Caenorhabditis elegans: one gene and its partner. The protein of the gene in region 2 purifies or fractionates together with the protein of the main gene of each other region. This does not show direct contact. Each region holds a gene or a part of one and is shown on either strand. Other genes may lie near its edges.

Region 1 (6,097 bases), on a different chromosome or scaffold from region 2:
AGGATGAAGAACACATACACACAGGAACGAGAATAGTAATGTTCGAGTTCCTTCTACTGACTCCACGTCAGCCGTACGTTGAATCTTTCAATCCTTCAGTGAAATCTTGATTGATTGATTGAATGAACCCGAAAGTTCTAAAATTTGAACTTTGAAACAAACTTTTTCGAGTGATAAGACGATAAACTGCAACATTAAGAAAGTGATGAAAAATGCTTTTTGAGAGAAGAAAAACCTATTGAACGCGAGCGCATTGTTGAGAAATTTTGAAAATCGTGACGCAATTAAAAACTCTGAAAAAAGGACACGTGTCACAAGAGTGCAGCACGAGATACTGTGACTAATAAATAGAATCAGATGAGAAAATTAATATTAAATCAAATACAAAGCGCCAAACTTTCTAAATAGATGACCCGCATTTCCGACTAAAGCAATGTGGCGCTTCTGAAGAATGTGCTGGAGAAAAATGAAAGCTTAATAGAAACCGGCCGCCGCAGACAGTATAGATCAATGCCTTTGCGCCAATCTAGGATAGTTCATCTTTCCGCCTTTCAAAATGCCGAGAATTTCTTACTTTCTGCAGTAATTATTAGGAGTCACAAACCTTGATTTTCGAGCTTTTTGCGTTCAAATTCGGAAATAAATGAAATGACGATCAAATCAAAGATAAAATGTGACGATTGCAACGTCGAAGCAAGAAAAATTGGAGGAATAAAGTTAAGAAAGAACAAAGAAAAAAAAAATTAAAATCATTTATTTTCTGGCAATTCACGGCTAAATACGACGAAAACACACCGGTTTCCGCAAAAATACCTGTGTTTTATTGAAAATTAACTCGTTTTTTACTCGTCACTCGGGAGGGGCTCTTTTTGTACTCGTTCACTTTTCAGTGGCCCGTCTTTTATTCTTTCGCTGATTTTTTTTCGAGATCACAGCCATTATGTATTCTTTTACTTTATTTTTCTCATTTAGTGGAGTTATTGCTCTCTTTTGCTCTTTTTTGCTGGCTTTTTCATCAATGAGATATATCGATAGAAATAATGCAAACAACAAAAATGAACGAAAAAATAATGGGAACTTGTCAAGGAATCAGGTAAAAATCAATAATCATTGCGATTCTGAACAGATCACATGACAAGTTCTTAGCCAAGAACAATAAAAAATGAAGATGAAAAAGTATTGCCAAATGGGCAGTTAAACTGAAGACAATTAAAGAATGATAAGAGAGGAAATGTGATAAATTATAATGGATATACAATAGAAAAAATCGAAACAGTTTCTGATAGGCAACAATAATAAACGGGAAGAAAAATTGAGGTAAATCTGAGGTTAAATAGGCTAACCAGCCAGATAACTAGAAAAGTAACCATTTGGAAACAACGAGTAAGATCACCAAGACAATATTTTGAGATCAAAGTTCTAATATAACTAGGACTAATCATTTAGCAGGTCATCTTCTTCGTCAGACTGAAATCTTTTTTTAAATTTAATTTTCAAGTGAAAACCAAGTTACCTCAAGATTGCTCGGAATTGCAGCGAGCAACTGGTCGGCAGACATGTTCGTATCAGTTGAAGGGATCTCCTCGATTCGCTCCGTCTTCAATTCCATCTCGAGGTCCACACCATTCAGAACTTTGCCATCCGCCATTGCCTAAAAATTAACATCTTATTTAAAATCGAGTCCCGTTTAAACTGAAAACTCACTTTCAACGCATCACCTGTTTTTCTAAACGGAAAAACGGCTGTTATGAGACCATCGTCGTCGGCTTTAACACTGTGATCAAAAACCTCACCGAACTTCTCCATATGTGCCATCAAATCAGTGACCAATTCATCCTGGAAATAATGTGTTTTTAAAATCTACAATTTAAAGAAAACTCACTGTTACACCTCGAACGATGACAACACTGCTCATTTTAGATTGGGGCTCGTCTCCATCGCTTCCTGCTTTTCGCTTCCGGGTCGAATCGTCCGATTTTTGTGGATTTTTAAGCTCTTCAATTTGGGCTGCAATCTCATCAACCACCATTGACTTTTCTGATATTTTGAGCAGGATTCCGTCGACTTCTTCCTTGCATGCCTTTATTTTTTTATGCAGATGTTTGACCAATTTGGTTGCATTCTTCTTATCAGTTTCATCAGTAGACGTTCTCGCCTTGATGAGCAACTCCTTCTGTTTAACCATCCACTTGTCAAGAATAATATTATGCTGATTCTGAGCCTGAACTAGCGTCGATAAAATACTCTTCTCTTTCGTTAATCGTTCTTTAGCATCCTGGATCTGCTTCCGATAGTTTTGAGCAGCAACACTGACAAATTTTGATTCTTGCACTGTGGCAATCTTCGGCTTTTCGACAGGTTTTGGTGGAGAAGTTGGAGATGACGGCTTTCCAGTTGCGTTTTCGGATCCTTCGCCTCCAGGATTATGCCAAAATACTTTAATAAACCTATTATTGAGAACTGGAGTTGGAGACTTGTAAGCTTTGCCAGCGTCAAATTTGGAAGCATAAGTAACCAGAGCTGAATCGATTTCTCCATTATATCTAACTTGGATATTATCGACAGTTCCAAATGTGGCAAAATGTTCATTGAGCTTTGCGATCGTGTTCATCTCTGGTGGAATCTTGGCAACTTGAAGAGTACAGTTATCTCTATTGATCGCTCCAGTGAAACCTCCACGGGCAAATCCACCACGACCTCTAATGTTTCCTCTTCCACGTGGTGCTCCACGGAAAGAACCCGGCTGAGTAACAACTCCTTGAGCAGCGGCGGGTGGTGGCTGAGAGTAAGAAGAAACAGATTGGGGAACATATTGTGCAGCTACATGTGGTTGTTGCCATTGTCCAGGGATCGGCGGTGGTGGTATACTGTAATTGTTGAGAGCAGGAGCTTCAGGGTTGTATTCACCAGCGGCAACGACGACTCCTGGTGGAGGTGGATTGAGCGGATTGTATCCGGGTGGAGGCAGACTGCAACTGTATGAGATTAGATCATGAGAAGGGAGATTTTGCAAAGAATTGTTAGATAAACATGGGACGTACGAGAAATTAGGAGCGGTAGCCGGGAGTGGAACCATTGACCCAAGTGCATTCTCATCAACTACAACCGGGTCACGACCGTGATAGTATGGACACTGATCTCCGCGAATGCAATATCCACGTTCCTCGAAATCCTTACAACGACGACGACTGCTTCTTGATTTGTATGGTGGAGTTCTTGAGCCACTGGATGATCTGAAAATGTTATAAGTTAATCAGAACCCGAATCAAAGTTAGCCATGGTTACACATAGATGGGATTTAACTTTTCTAAAATTCATTACCGTGATCTGGATCGAGAACGACGTTTGCTGTGACGATCACGATCACTTGATGAAGTACGCCCACTTCTTGAAGTAGTCGCGCGGCCTCGACGATCTCTTGGGGACCGTGAACGACGGCGTTCCTTGTCACGAGACTGCTTCTCCTTTTCTCGATTTTCCGATGGAGGTGGACTAATTCGCTTGCGCAATGGGCGGGACTCGGCTTTGCTGGCTGAAGGAGAGCTGCTTGACTTTTGAACACCCGGTGGAGCTGTAGGTTTCGATGGCTTCTCAGCTGGTGCCTTTTCTTTTTTAAGATCAGGCGCAGTTGCTGAAGCAGAGGTAGGCGCTGTTGATGCCGGCATATAGCTTTTGCTTGTGAGTGCTTCGAAGACTTTGTCGACGAATGGAGCAGTATCTGTAAATGTATTAATTGAATGACGTGAGCATTTCAAAAAATGAAATTTACGGTCTGTTAAAAACACATTTAACTGTTCATTGGTAAATGCTTTCAGCTCATCATGTCCCTTATCCGGTTTCTTGACTAAAGCCAACACGTATTTCGCGAGAGCATTTGGATCAGCGTCAGTTCTTAAAAAAAAGTATAAGTAGGCTGTCTAATCAATGAAAAAACTTACATTGGCGAGAGCTCATCAGAGAGCCAATCGAAGAGAGCATCCTCATTGTCGATGTGCATGCTTTCTTTGATATTTTCTTTCAGGTTTCTTACCGAGTCTAAAAAAAATTCGTTAAAAAATTGGGAAACGAAGATCACAGCGAGAGAGAGAATGAGAGAGTGAGAGCAGGTGAAAGTAGAGAGAAAAAAAAAGAGTGAATGAAGATGAGACGCAAAGAAATGCGAGAATGTGTAATTAGGGTTTTCATTATAAGGGAGTTATTAAAAATACTCAAAATTTGAACAGAAAGTAAAAATTTCGAAAAGAGAAATAACATTATAAAGATTTCGCAATATTTAGAAAGTTAGAACAAACAGAACATTTCGAAGAAAAACACTTCGTTTTTTCGATCTCAATAAACTACACAATTTGCACTAAAATCTATGAAACTAAATGCAAAATGTTGAAAATATAATTATCATTCTTGCTTTTTTCAACTACAATTGGTAACATTAAAAGTTGAGTGCATTGAAACAAAAGAGCCAGTAGAATTATAATCTCTAAATGATACACTGATAATAATAAAGAACAAAACCTAAAATGGACAAGAAAAAAGGAGGAACCAATGGGGTACGATAATGATCAAAAATTGGCAGCAGCAGCCAACAGGCGTTGCGTACGTATCTCGGCAAGCGGCAGTGTGTGTGGAAACACTGCGCATAAATACGAAACATGGAAGGAGCGAGGAGGACTAGACAAGAAATACACACGGGCGGTCGAAACAAACTGGTCTCCGTCAATGTTTTCTGGACTTCCAGGTTACCGTACTCTTTTTACACGCGGAACATTGTGTGTGGTGATTGATTGTCAAAGAAAAAATAACTGATTGATTCTGACGAATAGCGAAAGATGGATTGGGATGATGATGATGATAAGATGAAACTGAATGTCTAAATATAATTGGCAATATTTTTGATAAAACCTTGTAACATACCACCGGGAAAATGTAAAAGATTAATTCCTAAAAACTATTGATGGTGAATTTTCATCGATTTTTTTAATAATTGCCTTCATTATCGGAAAGAATTTGTGGGTTTATTGTTCTATTTCAGTTTTTTTTTTCTTAAATAAATACATATATTTTTTACGAAAAACTATGAAAAATCGATGCAACTCCCGTATCAACAAAAGTCTAGAGGTACAGTACTCTTTAAAGGCGGACGTATTTTTGTATTTTATAAAAAGACGTGTCGAGACCAGGCACCTTATTTTTGAAGCAAAAATCGAAAAATCTGGGTATTATCAAAAAAGTTATTTTTATTCTAAAATTACGAGCTTTCATATTATTTTAGGATCACAAAACGGCGCAAATAGAAATTCGAAAAAAAGTAAGCTTTTGAAGTTAATAAATTTGAACTAGACCAACTTGATCGTTAAAATCTGATTGTATTGATTGGAAAGTACTATTCTAAAATCCGGATACTAAAAAAACTAAAAATTAAGTAATTCCAGATGTCAAAATGTTGCGAGAGAAGAAGGAAGCATCCTCCGCTACAATTTCGAAAATCAGATCCAACATGACAGCCAGCGAGCTTCAGAGATAGAGACAACGCAAAAAAAATCGCGGCATGAGCAGCACTCACTGAAGGGGAGAAAGAACTCACACTCAAACTCATTCATTTATCCGCCAGCACCATCCATATCGTTCCTATTTACTTTTTCTTTCGCTTCATTTTACAGGTACTCGGAAATACTTTCTTTTCGTTTTTTACCCGCTTGTCTCTTGAGAAAGGCGAGTAGTACATTGAATAAAACGTCATTTTTTAGTCAGGGTTTGTTTTTTCTGATCTCACATGCCAAAACTCAAACATTCAGTTTTGTTATCTTGATGTAACTTAATTGTTAACTTAAACTCAATTATTTTTACCTTGCTCAACTCCTACATTCTAAATTGGAAGCTATTCCGTTCGCCTCGCTTTTGTTTTCTCGTGTGGCTTCTCTTCTTCATTTTTCATTCTCTGGGGCTGGCAATTGCCGTTGCTCTCTGTGCTCTACTCATCGTATCAAGCTCTTATCACAATTCGTTGTAATATCAGATGAAATTCATGCGCCCCAATAAAAAACCATTGGATATTCACAAATAGTTCCGCTTTGATATATGATATATCAAAATTCGAGGT
Region 2 (5,101 bases):
TTGACATTTTTAGTTAAATCAGGCAATTTTTTTTTTTGAGCGTGTAGACCTTAAAATACGTTTAAATGAAAAAAAATCCTGATGAAAATTCGAGAAAAATGGCCTAATCTAGCTAAAATCTCCATTTTTGGCCAGTTTTTAGTCCAACATTGGAGATTTTTAGCTAAAATTAGGCCATTTTTCTCGAATTTTCACCGCGAAATTCGCTATTTTACGATTATTCTATCAAAAATCACCTTATCCGTAGTGAGCCTGGCAAAATGAGCATTCTTCTCCTCCTGAGTCATTCGATGCGGCGGCGTCGGCTTCAGGATTACTTTTGGAGGATCTTCTGGAGCAGCATCCGGCACATCTTCTGGAGCAGCAGCAGCAGCCGACTCCTCTGGCGGATCCTCTTCAGTCAACTGTGCTGGTAGCTGATCACTAGCCTTCGGAATCGGCGTCGAGTAGGTATCCGTCACCTTAACCTGGAATCTTCTCGGCTCCAGCACTGGCGTCTGATGTTCTTGTGGAACTCGTTCCGAAAGTCGGCGAGTCGGTGAGCGGAGCAAGTCCTCCTGAGCCATAGATGGTCTTGGCGCTCTGCTAGAAGCTCCTGGTCTCTGCTGAATCACAATCACTTCCGCGGATCTTTGAGCTGCAGCAGCCGGAAATTGTGGAGCCGCCCGTTGACGGTTCATCTGCTGAAGCTCCTGTCGTTGCTCCGGAGTCATTCTGTGAGGAGCCACGTCGACAACTCTGTGCGGTGGAGCAGCTGCTGGAGCAACAGGATGCTCAAACTCTTGGGTATCCATCGGACGAGTCACATGGGTCGGACGAGCACGATTATTGTTCGCCGCTCCTCCAATCATTCCAGGTCTAGCTTGTGGTGGAACACGACGCATCGGATTAGCTCCTCCACCTGGCACCGCATTCACGATATGCTGATAAGAGCCGGGTGTTGGATCCGCCGGAGCCGGGGCAGCACGTTGCTGTAAGCTTCCACGTGCTCCAGCTTGATGATACATTTGTTGTTGCTGCTCTCGAGCTCTGTTGATCGCGTTGGCGGCCGGCGAGTTTCGTGGTGGAAGTAGCCCGCGCATTGGTAGACCATTTCCAAAATCGTTCATGACGCGATATTGCGGACCATCTCGGACGACGCTGAAAATTCAGATTTTTAATGTTTTCTAGTGTTTTTTTTAGTGTTTTTAAAGGCTTTTTTAGGCTTTTTAATGTGGAGTAGCGCCAGTGTGGAAATTGCTTTAAAACACGCCTATGGTACCACAATGACCGAATATCATGATAAAAAATTCAAAAAAATTTTCTAGATTTTAAATGATTTTTTTTGAAAATTGAAAAAATCTCAGTTTTCCCCTAATTCCTATTTGAATTTCCGCCAATTGGATTTGTTCGATGGAGCGCGCTTGCACGTTTTTAAATTTATTTATTTTAAAATTTTTGTTATTTTCCACCGATTTTTAATGTTTTCGGTGTATTTTTGCTCGAATTTTAGAGAAAAAGTCACAATAAATGCAAATTTTCGATTAAAAAAGCACGCTTACAGGCGTAAAAATGAAAAAGTAACGCTTTTCAACGATTTCAAACCTGAATTAACTAATGTCACTCTAATTTCAGGCGTAAATCAGTGAAATTAGTTAATTCAGGTTTGAAATCGTTTAAAGGCGTTACTTTTTCATTTTTACGCCTGTAATCGTGTTTTTTAATCGAAAATTTGCATTTATTTTGACTTTTTCTCTAAAATTCAAGCAAAAATACAACGAAAACTTTAAAAATCGGTGGAAAATAACAAAAAATAAAATGAATAAAAATAAAAACGTGCAAGCGCGCTCCACCGAACAAATCCAATTGGCGGAATTTCAAATAGGAATTAGGGGAAAACTTAGATTTTTTCAATTTTCAAAAAATCATTTAAAATCTAGAAAATTTTTTTGAATTTTTTTATCAAGATATTCGGTCATTGTGACCACATAGGCATGTTTTAAAGCAATTTCCCCACAGGGTGTAGTCTTTATTCAGGCCTTTTCGGGCTTTTTCAGACTTCTAAGCCTTCCATACCCTCTCTGCTGCATTCTCGAATCCATTCCACCATACTCCACTTGATTTCCACCGATCGAGAAAGGCTGCGCAGCAACCATCGGCCGATTTTGAATATTATGGCGCACAGGAAGCTGTTGCTGCTGGGAAGCCACTGACGTTGATGGAAGACCACCGCCCGCCTGCTGGTTTCGTCGGTACTGTGTTCCCGGGGATCCCGGGCCGACGGCGTCTTCGGGCATCCATTGCTTGACAATGTTGCAGTCTTCGTCCAGGCCGGCGATACACGGGAACGGGCCTTCTGTCGGGAGAATGATTCGGTCCGCGGGATCCGGCGGATCGTAGTTGTGGTCCTGAAATATACAGAAAATTAAGTTTTGCATTGCAAATATTGATTTAAAAATGGAAAATAGCCTCTAAAATCGAGATTTTTCTTTTTCCTTACACTATACGGCAACCAGAAGTTTGCCCTCAGAATCGCCTCTTCCACATCAGTATCATCATCAGAATCGATCCAAACTGTGTCTTCAGTCGGTCGTTCGGCTGCCAATTGTTCTTGTTCTGTCAATGGACGAGCATCTGCTGCTGCTGGTTCACCAAAATTATTCGCTCTCTGCTGTGGAGCAACGTAGTTTGGCGGATTGTAGGCCGCCGGTTGAAAGACTGGAATCTGAGGAATCTGCTGCGGCTCGGGGATTTGCGGTTCGTGGTAGAATTCCTGATTCTCCATTTGATGGTCAACTGGGTAATTGTCTGGAGCCTCGTGTGTCGCTTCAGAAGCTTGTGGATCCTCTGAGACTCCTTGAATGGGCTCTGAAAATTTTTAAACTTAGATTTCGCGCCATTACACAGCAAAATCCTACCTTGAGCCATAACAATTGGCTCGGCGATTTCGGGTTGTTGTTGCTGTGGTGGTGGTTGCTCGAAGAGCTCCTCGTCGGCTGGAAGCGTATGCTCTCCGTCTGCCATTTTTCCTTGTCTAGCGACGACGACTTTCTGGCATGCAATACTTGACGAACCTGAAAATTGACAAAATTAAGGTGAGAACAATCGATAAAATTAGAAAAACTATCGAATACGCCAGGAAAAAAATTGAGAGACATGAAAAACCAAAGAAAACGCCAGGAAAAATATCAAAAATCAATAATTTCCGCATGATTGTGGAGAGATGTTTGAAAAAATCGTAGCATGGTTTTATTACGCTTTTCTTCAGATTTTACCTACTTTTTCAATAAAACTAATCATTTCTAACGTTTTTACATCAAAAAACTGATCAAAAACCTGTCGGAATATTTTTTTCCAGCCGATTTTTCAAAAAATTCAAAGCCGTCAGAATTCTCAAACTTCTGAGGTTTCTGGTCAGCAGTAAGCAATTCCAACATGATAATTCCATCAAAAAAAGTACGGAAAATGACGGAAAAATTGCGAAATTATTTTAGGATTCGCATCCAGAAGTTTCTTTCCCGCCTTCCGCATTTGCGCGTAAGGTTGTGTGCAAGTGCACACACCAGATTCTACCGTACTCTCGCCTCGCGGAATTCAAATTATTTTGCGTCATTCACGAAGGAAATCGACAATATAAAGTTGTTCCGGGGGTTTTTTCGTATAATTTCAGATTTTATATCGATTATCACGCCAAATAATGTATTTTGGGTTGAAAAAATTGCATCTTGGCTCATGGAATTGTTTCTCAGTGAGTTTTTTGCGAATCTTCCCATTAATTAAGTATTTTCTTCAGGTTTTCTCGTCTTCTGTGGACGTTTCAACTTCACTCATCTTTCTACGTTCACCTTGTCGAAGGATTCTTCTCTGAACTGAAAATTCATCAACGAAATATCTCTAAAATCTCTAATTTCTCGAAAATTGTGACCGATGGCGGTGTAATTCTGTTCCACTGGCGTCTATGGCGGCCGTTATAACGATTTTATCGAATGGATTGCCTAATTTCCCATAATTCTTGCCCTTTCGCAGAGATTTTACAGGTTTTCCGCTATCTATCGCCAAATTTGGAGAATTATCGATTATTTCTGACGTCAATTTCTATGGATATTTGTTCGATTTCGACCGGTGAATCGTTTTGTGCCTGGACTGATGTTAAAAGCTGACTCTAAATGGGGAATTATTGATCTGAATATAGATTCGCAACTTTTTGCGTCTTTTGAACTTTCCACGTGCTATATTTTAGTCTTCCGTGGGCTCTGCGGAGCGATAATTACATATTCTTCACTGTTTCTCCCATGTTCAGATTAAATTACAGTTTATTCGACTTATCAATCATTTATTAAGGATTTTGACGTGTATTACTCGATATGGAATTTATTAATCCAATTTGTGGAGTGACGTTGTCGTTTTTTAAGCATCTGTTGCTCCTTGGACTGAAGTTGTCTTGGATCGGCTTACGATTCACTGATTTCGGTCTGAAATGACGAATTTATTTTTTAAATATTGAGTTCGAGCTCTTTTTTACGTAATTTTCTAACGTTACTCACTTTTTGATAGGTATTCCGTGCCAGCTAACTGTCCCCTATGCCGTCGGTGACGTTTGCCATGGTGGGAGTGGTGTTGGAGCTGCTTTGCCGGCTTATTTGGCTGGAACCGTCGACTGTAGTAGGGCCTTGTCTTATTGAGCACGATTTTTGCCTGAATTTTTTATAAAATTAGGAATTTTGCATCTTTTGGTGACAATGTACCGGGAGAGAGAAAAAAATTCGAAATAAATTATCAAGCTTTCAAAAAATTCCACAAACTTCAAAATTTCTCCAAAATTTCAAAAACGTTCTTGATGATTTTTGGAAACATTTGAACATTTACTGTGAAAATGTTTATAAGTAGAAAACGCCTACACTCGCAATATTAACCCCACCAACTCCCAACCCAATACCTCTTCTGTAGACAAAAACTCAATTTTTCCTAAACTACGGTAACCCTACCGTATACCTACAGTACTCCTACAGTACCACTACAGTAGCTTGGCATTATCTCCCACCAACTCCCAACCCAATACCTCTTCTGTAGACAAAAACTCAATTTTTCCTAAACTACGGTAACCCTACCGTATACCTACAGT

The links.
Region 1: the proteins of set-9 (region 2) and rbm-26 fractionate together in Caenorhabditis elegans (co-fractionation; one large-scale study listed by BioGRID). This does not show direct contact.

The regions. Positions count from the first base shown.
Region 1 is NC_003281.10:5,709,486-5,715,582, reverse strand, and holds rbm-26 (C3H1-type domain-containing protein), read right to left. Parts: upstream 4,042-6,097; 5' UTR 3,998-4,041; coding exon 3,939-3,997; intron 3,892-3,938; coding exon 3,770-3,891; intron 3,719-3,769; coding exon 3,322-3,718; intron 3,234-3,321; coding exon 3,042-3,233; intron 2,976-3,041; coding exon 1,883-2,975; intron 1,837-1,882; coding exon 1,705-1,836; intron 1,652-1,704; coding exon 1,514-1,651; intron 1,475-1,513; coding exon of another isoform or gene 1,468-1,474; coding exon 1,435-1,467; 3' UTR 739-1,434; downstream 1-738. Other genes in the region: B0336.12 (uncharacterized protein), read left to right, coding at 5,438-5,521.
Region 2 is NC_003282.8:4,305,848-4,310,948, reverse strand, and holds the start of set-9 (Histone-lysine N-methyltransferase set-9), read right to left. Parts: upstream 3,054-5,101; 5' UTR 3,004-3,053; coding exon 2,898-3,003; intron 2,848-2,897; coding exon 2,480-2,847; intron 2,388-2,479; coding exon 2,056-2,387; intron 1,141-2,055; coding exon 237-1,140; intron 1-236. UniProt on the Caenorhabditis elegans protein: Histone methyltransferase. Might play a role in transcriptional regulation. Together with set-26, negatively regulates lifespan in a germline-independent, partially daf-16-dependent fashion.